Linked DNA regions of Medicago truncatula. The main gene of each other region encodes a partner of the protein of the gene in region 2 in a complex. Links are inferred from orthologs where the notes say so. Each region holds a gene or a part of one and is shown on either strand. Other genes may lie near its edges.

Evidence for each region.
Region 1: DNA topoisomerase 3-alpha (region 2) and recQ-mediated genome instability protein 1 share a complex: the UniProt entries of both Arabidopsis thaliana proteins name them as parts of the RMI complex. The link is inferred for Medicago truncatula from reciprocal best matches to the Arabidopsis thaliana genes TOP3A and RMI1.

Annotation. Positions count from the first base shown.
Region 1 is NC_053049.1:44,633,503-44,640,611, forward strand, and holds the start of recQ-mediated genome instability protein 1, read left to right. Parts: upstream 1-4,093; 5' UTR 4,094-4,159; coding exon 4,160-4,609; intron 4,610-5,078; coding exon 5,079-5,249; intron 5,250-5,378; coding exon 5,379-5,524; intron 5,525-5,709; coding exon 5,710-5,843; intron 5,844-5,978; coding exon 5,979-6,922; intron 6,923-7,109. UniProt on the Arabidopsis thaliana protein: Essential component of the RMI complex, a complex that plays an important role in the resolution step of homologous recombination, in a process called Holliday Junction dissolution, to limit DNA crossover formation in cells.
Region 2 is NC_053044.1:47,665,311-47,672,690, reverse strand, and holds the start of DNA topoisomerase 3-alpha, read left to right. Parts: upstream 1-4,373; 5' UTR 4,374-4,506; coding exon 4,507-4,797; intron 4,798-4,907; coding exon 4,908-5,086; intron 5,087-5,314; coding exon 5,315-5,387; intron 5,388-5,559; coding exon 5,560-5,682; intron 5,683-5,774; coding exon 5,775-5,896; intron 5,897-5,975; coding exon 5,976-6,048; intron 6,049-6,138; coding exon 6,139-6,255; intron 6,256-6,728; coding exon 6,729-6,812; intron 6,813-7,380. UniProt on the Arabidopsis thaliana protein: Releases the supercoiling and torsional tension of DNA introduced during the DNA replication and transcription by transiently cleaving and rejoining one strand of the DNA duplex.

The DNA of each region.
Region 1 (7,109 bases), on a different chromosome or scaffold from region 2:
ACATTACAATCATATCAAAACACTACACTAATTTAAATCATCTTATTTATGCGTCCATCCTTCACCCACGATGAAAGCAGAACCCCACTTTTTACATGGTTTCTTGGCTTGTCCTTAATTATAGTCAACAAATTTGATTCATGATGTGCTTCATCATCTGATACATTTGTGACCTCCCTTTCAATAACCCTTTCAATCTCATCCATGGAGACGTCCTCCTTGACACCTTCATTTAAATGGTGTTTTCTGACATTGAGACGTTTGAAGTTCGGTAAGCTTCTCGTTGACTTTAGTAATATACTTTGACTTACATTGATGCCTGAGACATAACTATAATAAACAAGAATTCCAAAGGCGACATATAAGGAAAGGCATTAACAAAAACAAAAAACACTTATGAAATCAAACAAACTAAATGACATTCATCGCATACACATAACCATTTTGTCGGCTAGACAATGCTAGAATTACCACGGGAAATCAACTGGGTAGTGTAATGGTTGAGAAAAGAAATTCAAAAATCTAGAAAAATGATGGTCACACAACTGAAAGATTGTGGTCACACAGACCAAATTTATGGTTAACTGTAACTTCCTATTTAAAAAGAATGACATTTTAGGCCAAACGAACATCGAAGCACACTAGTTCACCACATTTAACGTTCGTCTGACCATAAACAACTTCTTTTATAAGCTGCAAGTTTTATCAAAAGTGGAACCACGTTTTATCCAAAAATGAGATTTGAGATACATTTTATCTCTTTCTTACTATTTATCCACCTAAATTATGTGAAAGGAATACATTTGGGAAAACTAGATAATCTTGACTAATGAGCATGGGTGAGAGGTGAACTATTGTTCATCTTTAACAGGCTTCACAAAAACTAACCAAAATTGAGAAAGACTTCCCAATAATTACAAAGGTGTAACCATATTTTTTTTTCTGTGTTAAAATTACTCATCTATAAGTTTACTAATCTGCAAACAAATTAAAGCAATTCCAGTGCATGAAACTTAAAAGTTGATCACAATTGGTATTTTAGTGATAGATTTGCTTAAAATTATATAGTCTTAAAATGATAATTCTACTAACCAATTAACTGAAGCATATAACCATAATTTTACAAAGGCGTAACCACATTTACTCAGGCGTAATCGCATTGTTCATTGTTTTGGTTATCTAATTTTTACATGATAGGTTGGCTTAAAATGATATAGTTTTCATAGGATAATTTGTGATATAGAAATAATTAAAACATATAACCTTAGCATTTCCAACATTTCCTTAGATCAATTGTGTTCTTTCACAAATTTGAAATTGACAAAACCACAAGAATAAATGCAATCACTTACAATCAGCATCAAATATTGAACAAGCTCAATTTGAATTGACATTGAACATTGAACACATGCAATCACTTGGAATTGAAAAACACAGGCACAAACGCAAATATAAACCCTAATAACCTTATGTATGGAATATGAATCAGGAGTTAGCGCTGAAGAAGGTGACAGAACTTACAAGAATCGAAAATGGAGAATTGGAGAAGAACGGTGAGTTTGAAGGCTGTCGAGAGCGAACGAGACGTGATACAAAGAGAGATAGAGAGTCGCGAGCATCAATAACCCCTTTCTCACCCTACTGAATTGATTGAAGAAGGTAAAGTGATTGAATGCAAAATTCTTCTCGCCGGCGAAAAACTAGAACAGGGGGAGAGAGAAACTGGACTGAATAATGAACGAGAGGAAAGAAGCACAATTTTTTTTTTGTATGATATGAATTAGGCAAAAAAAATTGTTAAATATGCGCCAACTATGAGTGGTATGGGGTGTTTGTCCACATAAGTTGGTGGACGTATCAGAACTCAACTTATATTACCCCTTCATGAATTAGTTTATGGTTTAATTAGTTTAGTTTTTATTTATTTTTAGTCTTTACATATGTGAGGATTTCTATAGTTTTGAATATAACAAAATTAAAAAAACGTTATTGAGTGTTTATTTTGTTAGTGATTTGTTAGAGCAAATTGATCAATAGAAGACACATTCAAAGAACAAAAGTAACAAAGGTAAAATATAAATGGTGACCAAATTAATTAGTGAAAAACATTTGAAACTGTTTTTGTACTTGTGATTGATTCATGAACTATGACGATAACACGATGGTTTACAATATTTTTTTAAATAACAAGTTTTGCTAACAGGTATCATTAAAGATTCTTAAAAAAAAGTATCATTAAGGATTTTAATTTTTTGACGAAGTATCATTGAGGATGTTATTTAGTGAACAAATTTGCCTCACCATGTACAACATAATCATTTAATTGGCTATATACCCATGTTTTCCAGCAAAAAATATACTCCAATTTTTTCTCTCTCTCTCTCTGTAGTTTCCAAACAAGAAGTTTAATAAAAAAAGGTTTCCAAGCAAAGTTCATATATCGTTAAAGGGTCATGTTAACTTGTGCCTAAAGGCACATGTTAAATAACTTCAAAAGTGTAACTTTGCATTAAAAAATATGATATTTTAACTTTTAAGAAGTTGAATGCACGACTTTTGATATATATATTTTCATAATGAGTTCCTTAACATGTACCTTTGAGGACACAAGTTAGCATTTTGCCGTTGTTAAAATGCCAATTATCACCTTTTTCAATGTAAAAAAACATAGTTCTCAAGAAAACGTAGCACTATTATTCAATGACATATCACATTTTTATATTATATTATTTTATTTTAAAATATTATTTTAAATAGTTTTACTTATAGAGTATCTAAGAATTTACCTAAACTAAACTGCATTTTCGTCATATCCTATCAAATGAAATTAAATAAATTTGAATACTTTAAACTTTAAGTCTGGACTAATTTTTGGGTTCTCTACATTTGAATGATTTTACACTATAAAAAAGGAGAGAGAATGCGAAAAAAATTATGAGAGAAAATAAGAGATGAGAGAGATAGAAAAACATTGGTTAAAGAATTCATTAATTAATTTTTTTTGGTTTAAGCAAAAAATATTAAGTCAAATGTATTTTAACTTTGCTTAATTAAAGAAAAACACACCATTACACTTATTGAGATTCATGCACTAAAAATATAAAAGTTAGACCTTACTAAAATTATTGATGGAGTGAATATGTTTGTTCCTCCTCAAATTTATACCAATTGATCAATTTTGTTCTTCCATTTTTCAAATTAGAAAAATCGTCATTCAATTTGTTTCACATTTATCAAATGAGTTATTATGTCATGTTTAGATGTTGGACACGCGGACAAGCAATGTTAAAGGCTGATATGTTCGTCCATGTCACATGCCATGTAGAAAGGAACCAATTTGCTTGAATTTCTTTCTTTTCAAGAAACTAAATAATCATCAAACCAAAATAAACTAAACCAAGAAACCCAAAAATCTTCACCTCTTTGTCATTTTCTTCCTCTCTAAAATCTAACATTTGAAAATTGTGATCCCATAACATTCTTATGAACCTATTCTCTAATTTTGTATAAGAATAAATTGTGACAACTTTCTGATTGACTATGATAGTTGTATGGTGCTCTTGTGTTCCAGTCAAAGACTCGGTGTTTATGTTAGAATTGTTTAGATATGATATTCTAGTTGTATGATAAACAATGTTTAACTACACGTGTCTTGTTGGGAGGGTAAAATAGGTAGTTTAGATAAAATGAAGGAGTAAGAGTGTATAGATGTAAGATGAAGTGTTTCATGTTTATATTGGAGGGAAAATAAGTAGTTTGGATAAAATGAAGGAGTGAGAGGATAGATGTAAGAACACGAGGTAAAAATTTTGGTCATCTTTTTTCATCCTATGAGTTTCTCGTATGCCCTATTTGGATTGTAAAATCCGAAATATTTCAACGTGATTTTGGAGGTTTTTATGGAGTGTTTATATCATTCAGAGTCCATAATCGGAACCGTATAAGGCGCGTGAGAAACTTATATGGTGGGAAAAGAAGCTGTCAAAATTTCTGGGGATTAAATTGGGCCCAAGAGAGTGTTTTAATTTCTATTCGCCCCTCCCTTTTACTCAAACGAGAGAAACTGTAACCTAAATTATTCCCGCTCATTCCCGTTTAGAAGAAACCACATTTTCAAAAAACAATCCGCAATTCTTCTTCTTCTTCCGGCGAAAAAAAAATGCACATACGCCGTCTCAGACTCGACGACGACGATGAAGCCGCCGTCATCGCCGCCGTCGAAGCCGTCGAAGCTCAACCTCTACCACAACCTCAAATAGTTCCCTCGGAACCAGTCGTACTCTCCGACGATGACGTCTCCGATGACCACTCCCTTCCCACTCCTCCACCACCTCCTCCGCCGGTTCCTCCACCTCAGGCTTCGGATTGTCCCGTCAACGATTTTCTTCGCCGTTTTGGATTCTGCATAAAGAGAGACTCGCTTGCTACTTGTATTCGCGAACTAGGGGAATCGATGAACGGCTTCCAAGGGTTTGATGTTGCTACAAAGGCAAAACTCTGTTTCGAGCAGTTTCTATTTTCTGATCTCAATTTCTGTGGTAGTGGTGTGCTCCCTTCGAATGTTGCTTCCATGCATCTCGATACTCTCCCTGGTCCCTACGTATTGCAGGTTTCGATTCCGTTCAATTTGGCCGTTAATTAGTTACATTCTTTATCTTATTGTTAGAATTATTGTGAATTTGGAGGTTTACTTTATACTATAGGTAGATGTTTGAAAAAAATGCTTAAATCAAATGATTACATGATTCAATTGTTTTACATGATTCAATGCAACTGATTCTGTGGTAAGAGCTTGACTTTGTAGCCAAATCATCGTTATTAATACTTAAAAAAAATTGCAATTAGATGCATTTTAGGAACCAAAAAATAATTTGAATTTGAACATTCCTTTAGTCCTTTATGGGAGTTTATAGTATCTTGGGTTGCTAGGATCCAAATTATGCTCCTATGTGATGGACAGTGGGTTAAGTATTTTTTGCTTAGATGGTTGCTGATGTATATTTTCTACGTGCGTGTCATTAATTGCGATCGATTTCATATGTGGTACCTGTAGACTTTATACCTTAACGCGTTGGCAGGTTGATGAAATTGTCAATCTCTGTTGTCCTCTGCGAAGCAGATATCAACAAGCTCCTCCAACGCGTAAAAGGTGCCTGAAGTTGTCAATGACTGATGGTATTCAAAGAGTCTTTGGGATGGAGTACAGGTCTATTAATGCTCTTGAAGTTTGTGCATCTTCTGGTTTAAAGGTTTCTTCTATGCCACAAGTCATCCTTTTTTCTTTTCATTCGAATGCACATATATACATGTCCATGATGGTTTTATTTGCTATTCTCTCTGAGCAAGGGTTAACTTGAGGGATCTATTGGTACTTGTAGGTCGCAATCTCTAATGTACAAGTGCGCCGTGGAATGTTGATGCTGGTTCCTGAAACCATTGAAGTATTGGGGGGATTAGTTGAGCAGCTGGATGCTGCTCGAAAGCGGCTGGTTGATGAACTAAATAAGCCAGCTAGGGGAAAAAGGTACAAATTAGTTATTCCAATAGGATTATTCAGGCTGATATGGCAGGGAGATTTATATTTTAACAGGGAAGCTAAATTCGTACAAATTTCTTGTTGTTTTTATCTTTCTTGCTGGCTTCTACTACTATAATCCGTGACTTTACTGTATATAGGTAAACCTTGATCAGTTTGTTATCCTCATGCAGAACCATAAATGGAGTGCTTCCTCCTTTAGCAACCAGAGCGACTCTTGCTGCATGGGCTGCAAGTAGAGTTGATGATCTCAGTCACAGTAGCCCAACGTTGTACGGTACTAATACTGTCCAGGCAAACAACCAAGGTAAGTCCTTATGTTCTAGATTAGAGTGCCTAAATGTGTGTGCGAGAAAAAGTGTATTTACATATGATGTAACCAATCTCAGTCTTAGTATTCTTGACTCTGATCTCATCTGTTCTTTATGTACGTGTTTTACAGCAGGTACCGGCCACAGGATTTCTGGCACCAGTAACAACTTAACAACTGAAGATACTTCACGCATGAGTGCACAAAATGCTACTTCCAATTCAATACCCCACATGGTTTCAAACGTGGAGCAAACAAATATTGACATGCGGCACCAGCAGGGTGCCGGCATAACAACTGAATACACTTCGCGCATGGGTGCAGAAAATGCTAATTCCAATTCAATACCCCGCATGATTTCAAACACGGAGCGAACAAATATTGACATGCGGCGCCAGCAGGGTGCCAGCATAACAACTGAATATACTTCACGCATGGGTGCACAGAATTCTACTTCCAATTCAATACCCCACATGGTTTCAAACGTGGAGCGAATGAATATCGATATGCAGCGCCGGCGGGGTGCCAGTATAACACCCGAAGATGCTTCGCCTATGGATGCACAAAATGCTACTTCAAATTTAATACCTCTCATGGTTTCAACTGTGGAGTCAATGAATATTGATATGCAGCGGTGTACCAATCCCGTGTCCCATAATAGTTCAATGGCTAACCAGACTTCTTCAATAGCTGAGGAGATGCATATAGATACTGCTAATATTACCATGGAAAACTCTGTTGACAACCAATCTTCTCACATGAACTCAAATGTTGCAGTGGCACATGAAGACACCATTCATGTAACAAGAGAAAGTTCTGTGACTGCAGTGTGTTCTTCTGTTTCTGAAAATCTAGAGACAGAAAGGGGCAGAGTTCCTGTAATCACAGGTAATACTTCTCTGAACGGATCTGCCTCCAATGTTTTTAACAATGAAGATATCCTGATGGAGGACGCCAGTGACAATCCACTTATACTTTCTGTAGACCAAGAAGTTCCTTTCACATACTTAGCTAGTTTGTCAGCCAAGTGGGCAGCAATGAAGGAGACAGATCCTCTGGTTCGGGGTAAAATTAAGGTAAGGAGATTCAACTGTCCAATGTTCTTTCTTTGGATAGTGATCTTTAGCTCTCGTGCATATGGTAGTATCAGTATTCAAATTAATTTTACTGACTCTAGCCAATATGAGTTGTTAGAATAGGCTACCTACCACCATATTCTAAAGTGATGTTGTTAAAAGTTTAAACAAGTTTTACTCCGATGTT
Region 2 (7,380 bases):
GAGGTTTTCCTCGGCAGTTAACTCCAGCCGAATTTTCCTGCCGTGGGGGCAAAATCGTATTTTACTCGTGTTCCTCAGTCTTATCAAATGTGTGAACAACAATTCTCAAAGGATTAAGGAAGATCACTTCTTTCCATAAACCCTTCTCTCTAGGTAAAAACTCTCTCACCTTTCTCTAACTTTACAGAAAAGTGAAACACCACTTTCTCTTCTCCCAAATCAAAATTTTCCTTAACAAGATGTAGATCAGCAAAGTGGTGGTGGTTCTTCCACCACCTACCCCCTTATGGGGTTTCCTTCGTCGGCGCCGCCGCGACTTCTTTTGCTTCGCCAAAGCTGCTCGCCGTAGTCACTCGGGCGGTTTATGGATCGCTGGTGGTGTTAGTGGATTGCCGATTCTTTTATTGCCGGCATTCTGTTTGGGTTTTCTTGTTCATATCCATATATGTGTTGGTGGGTTATGCTCGCAGATTGCCTCCACCATTTTGGAAGGTTCGTGTTTTTGTTTTACAATCGCGGATTCGCGGTTGTTCTTTTGTCGTCGGCGGTTGGTCGTTTCGTTCGTTTTTCTTTCAGAGACTGGGGTGATTTCGGTTACTGACTTGTGGTTGGTTTCGTAAACTCGAAAGGGTATGTTGGTTCTTTTAACCAGAAAGGGTTTGGTTGGCGACTATTGTGTTGACCTATCGATCTGGTTCAATATGTGGTTATGACGAGATTGGTTGTGGTTGGTTCCTGTTCTCTTTGATTCTATGATGTTCCAGATCTGTTGAGATCTGTAGATCTCAAGACGTCAGGTGTGCCTCCCTACCGGTGTTGGTTCGTTTTAGTCTTGTCAGACTGTTATGCTCGAAGGAGCTTTATACTTGTTGATTTTTTCAAGGAGTTGGTACGTGGATCTGGATTCCGTGTTTGCGTCCGATTGATTCGCCAATGTGAACCCTAATTGCTCTCACAGATGCCACTCTTTTCATTTTTTTGTAACTTTGTTTCGTACTCGTACGTCGGTGCGTTAGGTTGCGCTTGAAACAAGTGTTTGTTTGTTAGGATTGATTAGGTGGTTTTGCTTTATCGCGATGTATTCTCATATGGATTGTACCAGGGTCATGTCATATGTCCCCAAGTTTTTGTATGTCTTTGTTTTCTTTTTAATATATTTATCCTCGAGTAATGCTAGGGACACTTTCTCCAACACTCACTCTCTTATTGGATGAAACTAGTGTATGTCCCATCACTTTAAGTGGAACCCATTTTCAATGTGTGAGACCCAGCTTTATTTAAACCAATAATAAAGTGAATGTTTGGAAGAGTGTTGGAAAGATATTGTTGCTAGCATTACTCTTTATCCTTTGCCTAAAAGAAAAAGATAACAAAATCAAATAATACACTTCATTGTATGTTGTATTATTGTTAAGAAGAAAACGGGTTTTTATGTGTATTTTCGTAAATAAAAAAGGTTCAGTGTGTGTTTGGTTGTGTGGTGGAGAAAATTGATTTTAATATAATTGATTTTGTAGAATTGATTTTCGTTAAAAGTGAGTTTAATGTAAAGTGATTTATGTTTGGATACCCTCACAACAAAAGTGCTTTGTATGAAAAATGTTGTTTGGATACTCGATGTCAAAATTGCTTTTGGATGTGTAAATGACCAAAATGGATTTTAAGTTTTAACATACGTGTGTATATTATTTGTGGATCAATTTCTTTTCAATTTTTGTAAAATATTTAAAATTTTGTATATCATTTTTTAAATAATTTTTTTTCAACTTAAAAATAATAAATACAAATATAACCTAAATATTAGCCCAATTTTTATTAAAAACTAAAAGCATTTTTTTTAAGGACGTAAAAACACTTTTTATTATGCTTATTTTCCCCATGTTTTCATAATTCAACATCTATAACTATTTTGGTTTAGTTTATTAAATAAATGAAAGGGGTGATCCATTCGTTAAATAAGGGATAACGATAAGGACTTCCAAAATTTTTGATCAGAAAGGGATGTACCAAAACAGAAAAAGGGGGGTCTTTGGCTTTGGAGTCATATCTTTTCTAACATTGACACAAAAGCTTACTGTTTTGCAATACAAAAATGACATGATAATTGAAGGAAGGAAGAGATCGTCACTATACACAGCAAAGTTTCTTTTATTAAAGAGGGCAAAATTGACATTGCTTGTGGTTACTTTAGAATTGATTTAAGGGAAATACAAAAGCTACAAAATGTTGCTTCAACTAGAATCGATTTCAAGATTCAGAATCAGTGTTTGTTTGGTTTGGCGGCGGGGAGAATTGATTCCGGTAGAATTGAGTTTGAGATAATTGATTATGGTTAAAAGTGAGTTTGATATGAATTGATTTATGTTTGGATACACTCACTTAAAAGTGATTCTTATGAGTTGATGTTGTTTGGATAATTTTAGTCAAAATTGATTTTGAATGTGCAATGACCAAATTATCCTTTTAATTGTTTTTGAAACTAAATATCATATTTTCTTTTCAGATAATTATCTCTACCTTTCTAAAATCATAAGTACATTTTTGCTGGTTCATAAATTCCTTTTAAAATAATATGGAAGCGATTCATATGGATGAAAGCCAAACATGACACTTTTTAGTCAAACTGTGTTTGACCGCTCAAAACGCATGTTTTCCGTTTTCTAACGGGTATCCAAACAGGCACTCAATTCCATAGCAGAGATCCAAACAACCCCAATCTCAATCAAATCACGGTGGATGGCTGTAAACGTTCGTTTGCGGTTGGTGGCCGTGAAACTAAACAGGGACTCAAGCTAAAATACCACCATAATGGAAAACAATGATGAAAACAAACTGTTAATGAATATTTTTTTTTTAATAAAACATTTAGTCGAAAAATATTCACCATTCAATTGGCAGGCATTATCATTCACCAATTTTTTTTATTACCATTACATGTATTTTTTTTGAAAGGTGAATCATTGCATGTAGGCATGTACTATATAATCAAAAGAAAAAAAAACATAATTAAAAAGGAAAAAAATAAAAGACTTCTAAGTTCTAATGTCTAATTTTTTTAATAAAAAAAAGATATGCATAGTTTGTTACAATACAAATGTGTAAAATATATATAAGTATAATTTTTTTAGGCAACTACACTTGTACTTTTAATTAAAATCAAAATTTTATAAAAATAATTATATGTATTACGCAACACTAAAAAAAATTATACGCATTAGCGTAACAAAAAAAAACAGACAGACGAACATAAAATATTACTCTAAACACTAATGTGTGTGTATATATTTATGAGGTTGAAGAAAGAGAATAAAAATATTTGTTGTCATTCATTGACAGCGTGAATAAAAATATTTGCGAGGTTGTGATAATCAAAATATATTGAAATTAATATATAAGTGATAAAAAGATAATGAAATTCCTTAAAAAATTGATAATAAACTTAAATGGACCGTCATTAAAAAAAATTAAATGGATCGGTTCAAAAAATAAAATAAAATGGAAGAAAAAAGCATATTGAAAAAATAAAAGAATAGGTTGCCAGCGTGAGTTGTAGAGAGGGTGCTTGTAAAATAAATTGGGGAGAAGTAGTTTTTTGAAGTAGCATTCAACAACTTTTGGTTAAAGCACATTTCATTTAATTTTATGCATTCTAAAAAAAATACTTTTTTTCGAAGGTACTTTATTGATATTGTGTTTGGCCTAACTTCTTCTTAAAAACTTAGAGAAGCTGGAAAAAAGTTGGGCCAAACGGTACCTAACAATTCTACAACGATTCATCAAAACCTAAACCTAACAATTCAATAAAAGTTCTTTAACAATTCTAACCATTCTAACCTAAACTATCCTAACATATCATAAAATCAATAAAACCTATATAATTAAAATTTAACAAAAAAAGTTAAACAATTTGACCACAAAACAACAATGCGATAAGATTAAAAAAACTTACTTGTTTTTGTGATTGAAATTGGTTTGAAATGACTTGAAATTACTCAAAATTGCACGTAGGAGATCAAAAATGTAACAATAGAGTTTTGGAAACTCCCATATCTATTCGGTTATTGAATTCCTCGACAATTAATTGTTGAGGGACCAAACATGTATTTTAGTTGCGTGCCTCGTCTTTATGAAATGTGTCCACATCAATCTTCCTTATTTGGTGACAACTAGGGTACCCATGGAAGAATGGTGGGTAATTTACCCCAACCAATACACATTAACCACATAAGCACATTTTTAAGTGGTATTCATGAACAATCTTGACCCCACCAACAAATTTCTCATTTTCATTGGTTGATGGGTAAATTACCCACTATTTTTCAAAGGTAATTTAGAAAAAACCTCCTTATTTATTCGTACCCGAGTCGAGTTACTTTCCCGTTGATTGAATTTTCAAACAATTTGGGTTCCGCTTTCTCTCCCTCCCAAACCCTGATACAGATAAACACCCAAATTACGGCGGGAAAATCCAAACCCCACGGAATCGGCTACGAGTCACCGTAACCAATGGGTGGACGCGCCATAACCGTCCTAAACGTGGCAGAGAAGCCGTCGGTGGCGAAATCGGTGGCGAGCATACTCTCTCGCAACCAAGGCCTTCGAGTAAGGGACGGTCGTTCTCGCTACAACAGAATCTTCGAATTCAACTACACCATTCGAGGTCAACCCTGTCAAATGCTCTTCACCTCCGTCCTCGGTCACCTCATGGAGCTTGACTTCGACGATCGTTACCGGAAATGGCACTCGTGTGATCCCGCCGATCTCTTCCAGGCTCCGGTTCATAAATTCGTTCCCGAGGTAATTTCTTCTCGTTTTTCTTCTTCTTCTTCTTCGTTGTTAGAATCTTAATTTCTCTTTAGAATGTTTCTGATTATCTGTGCGATTTTGATTGCGTTGTTAAACCCTAGGATAAAAAGGATATCAAGAGGACATTAGAGGAAGAAGCTAGGCGGTGTCAGTGGCTTATTTTGTGGCTTGATTGCGATAGGGAAGGTGAGAATATCGCGTTTGAAGTTATCAATGTGTGTACTGCGGCAAATCCGAATCTTACTATTAAGAGAGCTCGATTTTCTGCATTGATTGACAGGTTAGGCGTTGTTTTGTCATGATTTTAGTTGTTTTTTTCCTCTGTTATTGTAATGCCTGTATCACTGGTACTTTAGATTGAAGGCAAGTTTGGTGTCCAACACGACACTAACACATCAATTTATCAGTTCAATTTTCTTAAATTGATCGTTTCTTTGGCAGCGGTGTGTTTAGTATCTGTGTTTGTGTATTTGATTCATAATTTTTTACTGTTGCTGCTTTGATGCAGGGAAATCCATCAGGCTGTGCAAAATCTTGTCGAGCCTAATAAGTGGTTTGCTGATGCCGTAGATGCTAGGCAGGCGAGTCTCCTTTTTTGGTCTCAGTTGGAGCTCAAATTTTGTGTTCCAATTGAAACAGGAATCTGATGTTATTGGTTTCTATCAATTTCTTTTCACTAATAACCAACATATGCTAATTGATATTGTTTACTTTGTGAGGGTGATGGATGGTTATTTTTTTTTTTTTATGCAGGAAATAGATCTCCGTATAGGTGCCACTTTCACCAGATTTCAGACCATGTTAATGAAAGATGCTTTTGTCATAGACACTGTTACAGATGGCAGAAATACTGTCTTGAGTTATGGGCCTTGCCAGGTGTGTTTATGTTGACAATATTGTGATGTTTTTGTGCTTAAGCTGGTATTGGCATATTGTGAGTTTCCATTTTGCCTTCATTTTGGCTACAGTTCCCTACGCTTGGATTTGTTGTGGAAAGATACTGGGAGATACAAGCACATGAACCGGAAGAGTTTTGGTTAATCAAATGTTCTCATAGATCAGATGAAGGCGTTGCTAATTTCAGCTGGGAGTAATATGCAAAGCTTTGTGTGCATTCACAATTGTTATTGAGTTTTACCAACTGCTTATAATCTGAATTCACTTGGCAGGCGGGGACATTTGTTTGATTATACATGTGCTGTCATAATATATGAGATGTGCATCGAGGAACCAACTGCAACCGTAAGTGTTCACCAAACTGTGGCTTGCATATGCTGAAATCAGTTTTTTTTTTTTTTTTTTTTACTGATGATACATATTATTACCATTCAGGTGACAAAAGTAACACCAAAGGAGAAGCCAAAGTATCCTCCCCATCCCCTGAGTACTATTGAGCTTGAGAAACGGGCCTCACGATACTTCCGTATGAGCTCTGAGCGCACAATGAAGGTGAGTAAATATTGAGAATCCATGTATTTCATTGTTGGTAATGAGTTTGGAATATATAAGAGCAAGCAATGCATTTGTAGACGATGCTGCAGAAAAATCCTAAAAAACTTACAACCCAGCAGTGTTTGAAATTAAACTCCTGTTCCATAACTGTGTCTGCATGCATATGTGTACCCATCTCCTGTTCCTTACCTGTGTCTGAATGCATATGTGCCCTGCAAAAGGTACATTTTGTTCAACAGTTTTTCTAACTGCTTTCCTGCTACTGTATTTAGTCATTGGACAAATGTTCTGATTACGTGTATCTCTGTTTGCCACAATGTGGTGAATGAACACATTAAGCTACACAATAAATGTGCTTACAGTTAGTGACATGAGTTTTTTATTTCAAGTTCCAACTTTTTGTTTTTCATAGTTTTATGGGTATCATTGTTTTTATACACGTCTCTTATTCCTTTTTTAATTATTTATAGGTGGCAGAAGAACTTTACCAAGGTGGTTTCATCAGTTATCCTCGTACAGAAACTGATAACTTTTCTTCAAGGACCGATTTGCATGTGGGTAACTTTATCTTCTGTTTCACGCACACATAATTATTGGTTGGTCATCCCAGATGAATTTGGAGAACATGCTGCTTGACATGGATTTTGTGTAGTTGTTGCACTTATTTGGGTTGTATACTACAAATTAAAGAAAAGGGGGTAAAAGAATTAGGGTTGTTGAGAGTGAAAATGAAAGAGCATTTGAGCGAATACGCGTGTCTTAATTACACCCTGGAGAATATTATATATACACTAATTAAATGGCAAAAAAGCCTAATTTCTGCAATTACCCTTATTTACAATAATTTTAACAATGGTTTTGAGGAGGTGTTCTTTATGTCATGATTAAGGTAGAAAAAAGGAAATATGGAGTGTTTATCACTTCGGATGTTGTTGGAAATTCATTAGAATATAATATGGCCATGGGTATATGGTTTCTTGTAGATACATTAAGAATGGTTTGGATTTAACATTAGACATAGTATTTTTAGGACATTACAGCATCAATTTATCCGTGTATGTATATTAGGACATTACATATATATAGAATATATGGTTTTAAGTGAGAGCTAGGATGATCTGT